2 linked regions of the Ovis aries genome follow. The protein of the gene in region 1 binds, or shares a complex with, the protein of each later gene. Links are inferred from orthologs where the notes say so. Each region holds a gene or a part of one and is shown on either strand. Other genes may lie near its edges.

Region 1 (6,226 bases):
CACCTGATACTGTGTAGTATTCTTCCTTGGTTTCCATGACACTATTCTTTCTGAGTAGCAGACCTTTGGGTACAAAGCAATTTGGTCAATATGACAATGTTTAAAAAAAAAAAAAGTAAAAACTTAAGTCTTTGTTTTCTCCTCCCTGAGTTAACAATAATTCTGGTGCATTGCAAAGGGTAAATTTACCACATTTTATGTATATTTAAGGACTTTGGCTCTTTTTTCTCTCATATATTCTGATTTTCTCTACATTTTCATTGGTTTATTTCTAAGTAACTTTCAGCTACTTAAGATTTTTTTTGTACTACTGGTAAAACTGAAAAGCAGGATACAACTGTCTAATAACAGGAATTAATTGGAGTGTTCTAAATGCTCCCTCCAAAGATTACAGAGTTATTTTTACTTTTTTCTACTTCTCAATTTTGTGGGTATTCAGCATATTACATTATACTTATAATCACAAGTATTAACTGGAAAAATTAGCAAAACTTATTAGTAATCATGTGGCATTCATAAAATAGGCTGTGCACTAGATGTAATTTTTTTTGCATTATTTGTATCTCATCCTCACCTGCCTTTCACTCAAAAAAAATCATAAAATGCAAGTGAATGAGAACCAAATTATAAAAATCATAGAGATAAGCTAGACTTGCTTTAACTTATTAAAAAACCAGGCAATGTATAAACTATGGTACTTTCTGTGGTAACATTACTTGATACGCCTGACAACCAATTGTGACCAAGTTTGCAGTCGATCCCAATGGTTAAAAATTACTACTCCACAGTGACCTTGAAAAAGGAAAATCTGACCACTACAATGCTTAGTATTTTTCAGCAGCTCCCCAGTAATTAGAGAAAATCCCAAATCCTGAGCATGACTGACAAAACCTTTCATAACTGTGGTTCATCAGTGACCCTGTTACATGTACCTTGTAGTGGTCACATCAAACTCTGTGCACCACCCTGGAGGTACTGTGCCATTCCCATGCCATCATGACCACGCATGGGCTGCTCCCTCAGCCTGGGATGGACTACATCCTTCTGCTTCCCAAAGCTGTCTGGCCAATCCCTTCAATGCTTCTGGAAAGCCTTCCATGAAACCTTTCTGATCAAACATCATCTGTGAACTTCTTTAGCACAGTAAGCAGAGCACTGTAAAAGCACATGTGACACTGAACTGTATATTTCTGGCCATCTCACAACTAGCCTGAGAGCTCTCTGAGATCAGGAATTCCATCTGAGTCCCATCTTTTATCCCTGGCACTTTCACTTATTAAGCACAATGCAGGTGCTCAATACATGAATTTTAAAAAAGCAAAAAGTACCAAGAAAAATGAATTACCTGGTTTAAGAAATTTTATTGTTAAACAAAGGGAAAAGCTAACATATCATTTTAAATACAGTTATAATACTAAATATTATCCACACAGATATTAAACTAGTCAACTGAGGCTTCATATCGATGCCAAAATTATCTACAGAAATTTCTGACATATCCTATTTACTAATGCAATCATTTCAAGTCAAGCATCCACCTCTAAGAAAAAGGAGTGAGCACTTTTTACCAATAGTATCTCCCTCATCTCCTCTATGTTTTTCTTATTTTGAAATGGAAAACTTTGCTCTTCTTTTCAAACAGAATTTTCTTCAAATGAACTGAAAGTGAAACTAGAGGAGAGTTAGAAGGCAGATCAATGCTATTCAGGGGATGGCGAGTCTGCTAGCAAGAAAGGCATTTCAAATGGATTTCAAGTAGACACTATAAAGCTAAACTACTATTTATTGAGAAAAAGATAGACCCCTTTCTTCATAATATGGACCAAAAACAGAACACAGTACAGTTATTCTAGGGAACAAGGACTTTGGAATTGGCTGTTTCTTTTGAAGCACCTACTCATGCCTGCTGTGGAGAAGTTCACACTAAAATTCTGGGCTTTGGTTTCCTACTGGGAAATGGTGACACTACTAGCTATTCTACAGTGTTGTTAGGAGGATTAAAGGGGATAATCTAGGTGAAGTGCAGTGTGAGGCACAGAGGAAACACACAGATCATCATGAGAGCCTGGGATGGACTACATCCTTCTGCTTCCCAAAGCTGCCCGGCCAATTCCACCGTAAGCATTATTCATCATGTTCATTAGTAAGAAGTACCATGAAATAGATAGATAGATAGATAGACAGATAGATAGATAGGCCAAACCAATCTATTCTGGAAAAGAAACAACATAAGTGGTCAATTTTTGAGTCTGAGGTATTTGGCAACATCATTTCAATACTGCTCTATCAACAAGTTTCTAACTGATATTTTTTCTCACTAGGGATTATGAAAAATTATTTTCTCAAAAGCTTTAATAGGAAGCCATACTTACCTTTGCTGTGTCTGAAACAGAATTCCAGTAGCCACCACTGAGTGAGAATTTTCCACTGCCTATTCGAGCCAGTATTTCCTCTGGTGTATCATCAGGACCATTTGCAAATGGAGTGTAACTAATTTATAACAGAATAACATGCTAATGAATAAAGTTTCTTTTTTGGTTGGTAATTTTCATATTTATTTGCAATATCCAAAAGTACTCTAAGTAGTTCATTTAATGTTACACCTCATCAAAATCTACTTAAGTAAAAATTAACAACAATATGAAGCTTCATAAAGTACCAGGTCAAGGTATAGGTTATGAAATATTAATTTAAATTTAATATACAATAATATAATTAAGACATGACATACTATAGAATAATAAATTTAAAATAGTATATGTTTATGACACAGAGTACAAAAATGATATAAAAAAATCAACTCATAACCTGAAGAACTTAATAATAGTACATTACAGAAAATAATAATACAGGTATAACAGTGATACACACATATACACACAGAATTGTATTATTAAACAACAAGAGAAACTATGGGAAGAAAGTATTATAAGAGATTAAAAAATAAATCTAGATAATGTAACCAAAATTATCGATGAATAAATGCTTACAACATACGGTACACACTCACCCAGTAAGCATTGTGTAGAGGAGGACACCAAGACTCCATATGTCACAAGCAGCATCATAGCCTTGTCGTTTTAAAACCTAGAAAAAGTAAAAATTAGTATCAACACACTGTTTTTTATTATACAGATTTGGATAGGCGTGAACTAAATTATGTCTCCTAAATCAATGCATACAAGAAAAATAGCATGATTAACAAACAAGGCAATATAGTAATACTACTTCTAGAAACTTCTACTAATACTTTATATAAATTTAAATTCTGATATTCATCTTAATTTATCAAACGCTGCTGTGGCACACAGAGGACTATAAAAATAAACTGAAGGTAAATTTCTCATTTAAATGTATTTATATTTTGTAAGGGGCTGCAGAAATAATTAACAAAACAAAGAAAATATAACAGTATAAATGGTATAGGGCAAAATTGTACTTTTATATATATACTCAAGATTTAATCATCACTATTATCAGGCATAAACTGTGACAAATACAAAACAACTGTTTTCTCTAAGAAAATCAGAATCTTGCAAAGGAAATAAACATATATGTAGTTAATTCAACATGATAAGTTTTCTAACAAAAATATGTTTTAAGGATATGGGTATAAAGATGAAGAAGCAATTCACTCTTGATAGGGGAGAGAGGGAAGAAGGCTCGGAGGCAACCTGCTTGTATTGGGCCGATAAGGAAGAATTCAGGAGGCGAAATCAAGACGTGGGAGAGAGCAGGGGCAAGAGAGCAGAGCCTGCTTAGCGACATGTAAGTTCAGTGTGGCCAGATTTCCACACAGGGGATTCTATAGAGAGACTGAAGCGGTTTTTAAAGGTTTTTTAAATTATTTGTTTGGCCACACCACGTGGCTTCTGGGATCTTAGTTCCCCAACCAGAGATCGAACCTGGGCCCCAACAGTGAAAACACCAAGTCCTAACTACTGGCCCACCAGGAAATACCTTGGAAAGCTTTTTATAAACATCTTGTTAAGGAATCTAGGTGTTTTTTTTCCCCCTGCAGGCAATCAGATGTCATTGAAGCATTAAAGAGGAAAATAAAATAAGTGGATGTGTATACCAGAAAGATAACTCAAGGTATAGAGAAAATGCTGGCAAGAAGAGAGAATGGACACAAGGCCACCTCATTGGAGGCAATTTGTAGCAAACTAAGTGAAAGGCTGTGAGGATCTGTACTAAAACAGGACATGAAGAGGAAAAGACATAAAGATAAAATGGGAAGGACTCAGTAAAGACTGGATATACAGCGTAAGGGAAAAAAGGTCTAAAATATTTAGGAATCAGAAAGGAAAGGATCTGGTGATCCACTGAATGTGGAGAAATAATACAGGAGGAGGATTTTGGGAAGAGTTAAGAGGTCAGTCTAAGGACAGTTTGATCATAGAAGATTTCCTGAAGGTGAATTTAGAGGCAGGATCTGAAGCAAAAAAAAAAAACATTCCAATGTGCCAAGACATAAAAGCTACATGGTGATTCCAAGAAGCAGACTGCTTATATGAAGTAGGAAACAATCCTGAGGAAAAATGAGATGGCTGGATTAGGGGGTCATGCTTGGACACCAGTTTGTGTCAGAGGCTGTGGATATGTCAACAAATAAAGGAAAAAACCTGTCCCTCATCAGTTCTAGTATCACTGGGAGAACTGAATCAAATAAACTTAAAAAAATTTTTTTTCTATCTAAAAAGTAAAGTTTGGAGAACGGACAAGGGAATCTGAATCTATAATCCAACTAGTCTAACGTTATCAACTATTATCATTTTTGTGAAATATCTAGCACATGGTAAAGCACAAACTTTGTAGCTGGGTTTCTTGGGCTCAAATCTAGATCTGATCTCAGGCAAATGGCATCACCCCTCACTGTGCACCCTGTTTCCTGTAAAATGCAAATAAAATTACTCAGCTCACATAGTTATAATGAGAACAAATTATTATACCCAAATTAAAGCTGAGAGGATGAAATCTGTTAACATATGTGCCTGACATGCAAGCCTTATATTAGGATTAACTATTATTTTTTATTATCTTGCTTCTAGTTTTAATTTTTTACATAGTGATAATCCAAAGCCAAGAAATTTTGAGGGCAAAACATTGGATTTTAGAGATGCTATAATGGGGAACTGCAATTTCTTAGGAAAAGCAGCAACCTGATCAAAGCAGTGCTTGAGGAAGACTTCAGCAACTTTGCAACATCTTTGTGGACTGATCAGACAATGACAAAAGGGAACGCCATGCACCTAGGCTGTGGCAGTCACCTGGGGCTGTGGTGAAGGAAGCAGGGGCTAGGAAGGCAGGTCTGTGAACAGAAGAAGCCCAAACTGGTTGTAGGGGATAACAGAGATGCTAACTGGTTACAAAGCTAAAGACAAGAAAAGACCATGATGTTTTAGCTTTAGAAATACAGGAAGATGGTGACAAAAATCAGGAAATTCGAAGAGTATCAGGAAAGAATTTTCCAGGCAAGGATACTGGAGTGGGATGCTGTCTCCTTCTCCAAGGGATCTTCCCGACTCAGGGATCAAACTCAGGTCTCCTGCATTGCAGGCAGACTCTTTATCATCTGAGCTACCAGGGAAGATGGGCAAAACAAAGCAAATGAGTCTTTAAATATACTGAAATATTGCAAGCAAACTCTTTCACAATTACCTCTGGTGCAACAAAATTTGCCGTATAACAAGGAGTCATGAGAAGACCATTTTCTGCTCTTAGCTGTTTAGCAAAGCCAAAATCACAAATGCGAATAGATTCTGGATTGCCAGATTCATCCACATAAAGAATGTTGCTAGGTTTCAAGTCTCTGTGAACCACCTAATTGAAATACAAATTAAAGAGCTGCATTAACAATACGTCTCCATTATGGAAAATTATTTATCACAAACTTAACAAGATGATTGGTAGTGACCTTCACATTATTCCAACAGTATAAAATACTAATAGTGTAAGTATAACTCTCTCACACAGAACTGTGGCAAGGAAAGGAGGAAGAAAGAACAGTATTTATCTCCCCCCTCACTTTGTCCAATTGAGTGGATTAATGAAAAATGCAAATAGCAGTAATATCTGTCTCCAAGTTATTCATTGTTCAACAAATATTAATTGAATATCTATCATGTACCAGGGTATTATACAAGGAGCTGCAGATACTCTGATGAACAAGACCTGTAAGATCCTTGCCTTTACATGCCAGGAGCTTACCCAGTAGTAAGGGAGG
Region 2 (6,226 bases), on another chromosome or scaffold:
AGGAGATGGCCAGGCCCCTTCAACCTTCTTACTGTGTCTTGAGTTGTCTTTCCTGGTTATCTAAACTCAACCCACAGTGATGGAGACTGATCATCATTCCCCCAGGAGAAATGTACAAGGACAAGGCCCATAAGTGAATAGCTTGGAAGCCAATTTCTCTGAACAGAGCAGGTAGAAGGGAGCCCACAGGAGGCAGCTCTGCTTAGGGACTAGCTGGACAGGTGGGCTGGAAGATGCACTGTGAACTGACAAGAACAAATGTGGGGGATGATCAGGATTATAGAGACAAAGGAAACAAGCATTAAAGAATACCTACTGTGTGCCTGGAACTCAGATAAGTGTTTTCTCACTGAATCTTCATGATCAAATTCTGTGACATTAGGTCTAATTTACAGAAGAGGAAATAGGCTCTGCCAGATCAAGTGTCTTCCCAGTAGCTGGTAGATGGCAGAGCTGGCATTCAAACCTGGGCCTTCAGACTTTGTATCTGAAGCCTCAAGACTTAACCCTAAATTACTTCTACCCCTGTGCCTCAGTGTCCTGCTTGCAGAGATGAAGGGAAGGAATAGGGAAAGAAGATGAAGGATAAGAATGTAAGAGTGACGACAGTTTTGTGTGGATATGAAATATCTAGACGTTAGTTTATATTGTAATCAAGTTCAGAAAATGACTCACTTCTTAAAACTAGCTGCTAAAAGGCCCTACACATGCCAGCACTCCATCTGCCCATGGCCATGATCCCAGTCCTTCCCACAGGATGGGCTCCCAGCGAAGTGAGCAGGGTGAGTGGGGAGGAGGGCGATAAAAGTAAGACTCCCATGGACAAAAAGCCTGGCTCTTTGAGATGGAAAATTTGGGAAATCCAGCTCTCGGCCTCATTGGCCGGCCTCCTGCCACTGCACGGTAGGAGAAGGTAGCTGGCAAGATGGTGAGGGGCACAGGGAAGTCAGGAGCCAGCAGCGGAGGAGGTGCAGAGCTGGGGAGACTCTCCTCTAGTTCTCCTCCCACTCTGTGGCTCTGCCCCTCCTGCTCCCAAGCTGAACCAGGCCCTCGAAGAGACAGCTCTGCACTGGGGTCAGTGATGCCAAACAGCAAAGGGCAGGGTCAGACCTTGGGATCAGGGCCAGCTTCTCCTGTGAGGGACTGAGTTGGGAAGAAATGGCCCTGGGCTGAGTTCTAGTCCTGTGCCAGGGCTCGACTGGGCAGAGGAGGCCTCCTAGCCTGCTCCCAAGCCTAGAAGGGCTCACCAGTGGATGGTGGAACATTCTGGGAAACAGCTGTCGAGAGAGATCAGGTCTAATGCGAATGCAGAAAACTGCCTTCCAGGTAGTCCCCCAGCTGAGTCCAGGAGACCCAGAGCCACTGTGTTCTCCATCAGCTACAGCACTGGGGCTAGGAGCTGCGAGCTCAGGCCAACCACAGGCCTACACAACCAGCGTAAAATGAATGGGTAGGAAGAAGGCCAAGAGGCAGAAATCAAGAACCAGAGTGGACTGAAGGGAAAACCCTAAGCCAAGTTTCCACAGAGCTATCAAAGGAGGGAATAGGGGCTGGAACTTGGAGCCAGAGGAGACAGCCAGGCTGCCTTATCTAAGCATAGGGCCACCCTCTCTTCCTGAGGGACTGGGGGACCCACCAGGACCAGGTCTAACCCCACATTTCCCTCAGAACCCCTTGGCAGAGAATAACCCCTTCTGTCTGGATCTCAGGAAACTTAAACTCAATTTCTGTCTCCCCACCCCACCTCCCGCCAGGTGCTGGCCATATTTTGGTCCTCAAACCAAACCTATTATCAATAGCTCTCCTCCGGTCACCTGAATTTCCCCACCTAACCTCAGGGTCTGCCCAATCGTGGTGGATTAATTATTCTCTTGATTTCCTAATATACAGTCATATATAGACACGCATATACACACACACACAGCCGACTAGGCAAGGACACTGTCTCAGAGGCAGGGAATGTGTTCATTTCCAGGTGGCATGACTTTGCTTCAGTGGTGGTTGTACTAGCAGGGATCCAGCCTCAGGCTCCTCTCCCCGCCTTGGCAGCCATCCAGAAAGTCAGCCCAGGGAGGAAGAGTTAAGTGCCCAGGGGCTGGGCCAGACTGCCGCTGCAGAGCCAGGCAGCCTCCAGCCCAAGGCACAGAGGGCTCCTCCACACGAGCCCGCCAGCCGCCGCCTTTGTTGATGGGCTCTGCCACAAGCTCCAGTGACACGCGATGCTCCGCCCTGGCGGGCTGGTGCCAGGCTGCCCGCTGAGCACCCGGTCGCTGGTCTGGAGAGACTGTGAGGTACACAGTCTCCAGAGTCCTGGCCCTGGTTTCCAGACAGAGACAATGAGGAGCGGCCTCCCCAGCTGGAAAGTGTCGGGTTACAACCGGTTCCACCACTTTTCCCAACTCAGACCCGTCCAGGCCTCGGTTACCCATTTCCCACTGCACCACAGCCAGGTACCTCCGACTGTCCAGTTTTCCTCAGCACCATGAAAATCTTCCCCTTAGGTCTGCAAGGGACCATCTCCCACTGATGAACTCAATAAGATACAGTGTGTCAATCAAGGCTGCAAGAAGCTATGCCATTCTCCAGAAGAGATCGGAGCATTTCCCAGGGGCCTGAGCTGAAAGCAGGCAGATAAACAACTTGGATCTCATAGGTGAGAGCAAAAGCACTCATCCAGCCAGGCCCATTCTCGATTTCCAGTTCAAGAGAATCACGGTAACGTGGGTCCTGGCAGAGACAGAGTTGCTGAGGCAGGCCCCAGCCCCACAGACCCAGCAGATGCACACCACCTCCCCCCACCAAGCCCCAGTGCCTACTTGCTGCATATGAAGCCGATGGAACTGGTCTGCAATGCACTGGAGTTTTCGGGCAATCTGTATCTCTGCTCGATGTTGCCACTGCCCTTCAGGGGGTTGGTCACCAAGGGGCAAGCCTGCAGGGAAACTGGCAGGAAGGGGGAGCCGGTAGCCAGCATTGCCTGCAAAGACAGAGGGCCCACATCTCAGCAAGCTCCACCACTGCCCCATCTTCCCCATGCCTGCCACCCCTGGTCAAGACCCGGGGTCAAGGGTAGACTCTAGTATGGGAAGGAGAGGAACTGAGCCTGTCTTTCTCAGGGCACTCTGCCAAATGTGGACAGCCTGACTTGCCTGCTGACCAAGAGTATGAAAGCTGATGCCAGGCTTTCCTCCCTTCACTGGCAGCGCCATGGCAAAGGTAATAAGTGTGGCTGAACTTGCCAACCTTCTGTCCTTATTTACACAGCTACGCTTGACCACAATTTATTATTCATTATTCATACAGTAGTAGCAGGCTGAAGCTCTTCTCTAGAAAAACATTGGAGGCAGCTCTCCAGAGATCCTCAGTTGAGCAAAGCAAGGGACAGAGAATGAAAATCAGAAAGTAACCTCACTTTTTGGTGTAGCAGAGAAAGGCTGGTTTCAGGCCCTGAAGCTCTGGGCAGTGGCACAGAAACATAGGGAGAGAAGACTCCTCTGAACCACAGAGTAGCCAAGTTCCTCTCTGCAGCCAGCCCCAGGCCAGACATCTAGACCTGCTCTCCTCACTGACCAAGTGCTGGTCACCGAGCTGCCGCTAGGGGCGCCCGCTTGCTCCCGTCTTTCCCTCCTTCCTGCCCGCCTGCCTTATCCATCTTCTCAGATTCCTGCCAGAACTTTGCCTGAATTGTCCTACAGTGCAGCTCCTTCTGGGAATAACTGCAGCGTCTCCTCAATCCGCTCCATTGGACCCAGCAAGATAGCCTCTGAACCACCCTTCCCTCCATAAGCTTTGTGCTAAATGAAGAACACTGGCTATCTAACCTTGCCCTTTTGCCAGAGGAGGGCAAATTGCTAATAAAACCAACCACTGAAGCCCACAAATGAAAGGGTCTTATCTGACTGAGCCTTGGAAACAGCCCCTTTGTTGGCAATGAGCCTAGGCAGGCCCAACCTCTTTCTCCAGTTCCCCTTCCAAACACAGAAAGTCCCAAGTGACAACTGGGGCGGGGAACCTTCTGCCTCCAGGAAACTTCTCTCCCAGAACAAGCTGGGTTTTCCCCTTCAGTGTCAACAGCGAGTCACAGATCCCCCAGCCTTCTCCAGGGCAACACTAGCCACTTTACGGAAGGTACATCACTATTACGACACAAAAGCCTGGGCCAGTCAACAGGCCATAATATGTAAAAGCCAAGACCCAGGTACCCTTCTTCCAACCCAAGGAGATACCATGGACCCAAGGATCCCTCCAGAAAGGGACAAATGAGCAGAAAAGAATGGCAAGGCAATCTGTCCTGCTTGTGGCCTGAGGAGCACAGACAAGAAGCAGTATATGAGCAGAGAGTCAGCAGGTGAAGAGTTGAGGGATCAATAGCCCCTGCTGCTCAATTTGGGGAAGGAAATAGCAAAGAGCAGGTTTGGGGAGGGAAAGTCCCCTCTTTTCCCCCATCTCTAAGGGAGGAGTCCTAAGGCTAAGAGCACTCACCATAAAAGAGTCGCTGGGGCTCCTCAGTCACCCCACAAGGCAGCATGACACCCTGGCTCGGGGAAGCTGGGCTGAGAGTCTGGGTAGCCTTGTCTTCCTGGCTGGTGGGTCGAAGCCCAGGGCCACAGCAGTGCGTGAGAGGGAAGAGCTGCAGACGGCTGAGGGGGCAGTCCAGCTGGCTCTGGGCAAACAGGTCAGCAGAGAGCAACCTCCTGGGCTGGGCCCCTGGCTCCCCATCCTCTGGCTGGAATACGTCATCCTCCAGCTCCTCCACACACTGGGGTGGCTCCATCTCCCCTGTGAGGGTGCAATGCAGGCATCCGGGAGGCTGCCCCCACCCAGGCTCTACCTGGAAGGACTTCCCTCCCTTTCCTTCTTTCCTGCTCCCCCTTCTTTTGTGGAGAAGTGGGCTCAGGCACTGATGACAGTCAATCCTACAGATAAAGCATTGCCAAGGGTGACAACCCACCCCCAAATGTGGGCTGCCTTGCAGTTCCAGGATTCTCCATGTTTCTTCCCTGCGCCCACTTGGAGCCACCTTCCCCTCAGCATCCTCTTCTGACCCAGGCTGGTCACAGTCACATAGTTGGACTGCTACTGACTCATAGCCATAGCAGGGGTATGGTCAGCTGCTACAAGTACGGAGGGTACCTGGAGAAATGTCAACAAGACTAGCCTCTGTGAGTGGCTGTGGGAGGGCAGAGGGTGCTGTGACTGGCTGTACCCACAGTGCTCACCACACACAGACCCCCTTGCTGGCCTGAGGAGTAACCATCAAGTTCTCATCTCAGTCTGAGCAGAGCTCCAGGCTGGGCAGCAAAAACAAAAGCCAGCGATCCTAGCCCGGCCAGGTTCCCTCCAAACCTGCTAAGCCCCGCCCAAGACTCTAGTCTCCACCCGCTGCTTGCTCAACACAACAAACAGGCTCAACGATGTGGTAAGAGTGTGTCCTGGGAGAGAGAGGGGGAGAAAAACCCAAGTTAGTCATTGCAGCTGCCCTCTCAGCAGACTGGAGCTATCTGTCTACCACAGCTTAGCCGAGAGGAGAGGTACGGCATGCAGCAAAGTGCCCAGAGTTCCCCAGCTCAGTGTGGAGTCACTAATCTCCACAACTTCAAATCCTTCCCCACAGCCTACCATTCCTGCCAGCACCGAACCTGAGATGGGTACAACCTGCCTCATAGAAGGAAGTGAAATTCAGCCCTCTCTCTGTGACCTCACTTGCTGCCTGAACTCAGGTTGTTGATATGAGTTTCTTGGTGATAAAGAAGTTCCACTTGCTCCACTTGATGGCTCTTGGAAGTACGAGCTTGCAGTCACCCAGCTTCTTGTGCTCAAAGTTAGTCCCCTATACACACACCAGGAACCCCTCAGGGTCCCTGGGGCAGTCAGAAAAGCAACCACCTGAGTGGTTAAGGATACGGAGAGATGGTGTTTGTCACTGCCAGAATCAATTAGAGGTCCCCTGGGAATTCTGTCTTCCACTCTCTTGCCCTTGAAGAACAAGCCAAATGGTCTGTGGGTTGGTAAAGTACTTAGAGGAATCTCAGTTAATTCAAGAATCTTGGCTTTCTCAAATGCAAGCTTTCTTTAAGGCGCCTGCTTCAACTCTCCCTCCATCCCATCCTGTCCTTGAGCTATCTATGGTCCCTATCCTGCCTGTCCTCTTCCCTGTCCACTTGGATGGCAAAAAAAAGGCACGTGGTGTTCTTGGGACAGTGTTTTCCTAAAAGGTGTGAGAGGA

Evidence for each region. The genes of interacting proteins can lie anywhere in the genome.
Region 2: the proteins of RPS6KA3 (region 1) and BMF are in contact, whole or in part, in a crystal structure (PDB 8R58), measured with the Homo sapiens proteins. The link is inferred for Ovis aries from reciprocal best matches to the Homo sapiens genes RPS6KA3 and BMF. Residues at the interface, in NP_004577.1 of Homo sapiens: Trp252, Phe259, Phe268, Leu281, Ala283, Lys284, Leu285, Gly286, Met287, Pro288, Leu299, Arg300, Phe303, Lys304, Arg305, Asn306, Asn309; in NP_001003940.1 of Homo sapiens: Glu8, Leu10, Glu11, Asp12, Asp13, Val14, Phe15, Gln16, Pro17.

What each region holds. Positions count from the first base shown.
Region 1 is NC_056080.1:18,623,603-18,629,828, forward strand, and holds part of RPS6KA3 (ribosomal protein S6 kinase alpha-3), read right to left. Parts: intron 5,824-6,226; coding exon 5,662-5,823; intron 3,088-5,661; coding exon 3,011-3,087; intron 2,491-3,010; coding exon 2,373-2,490; intron 1-2,372. UniProt on the Homo sapiens protein: Serine/threonine-protein kinase that acts downstream of ERK (MAPK1/ERK2 and MAPK3/ERK1) signaling and mediates mitogenic and stress-induced activation of the transcription factors CREB1, ETV1/ER81 and NR4A1/NUR77, regulates translation through RPS6 and EIF4B phosphorylation, and mediates cellular proliferation, survival, and differentiation by modulating mTOR signaling and repressing pro-apoptotic function of BAD and DAPK1.
Region 2 is NC_056060.1:33,964,404-33,970,629, forward strand, and holds part of BMF (bcl-2-modifying factor), read right to left. Parts: 5' UTR 4,992-6,226; coding exon 4,952-4,991; intron 4,780-4,951; coding exon 4,483-4,779; intron 2,978-4,482; coding exon 2,817-2,977; intron 2,618-2,816; coding exon of another isoform or gene 2,555-2,617; exon of another isoform or gene 2,459-2,554; intron 1-2,458. UniProt on the Homo sapiens protein: May play a role in apoptosis. Isoform 1 seems to be the main initiator.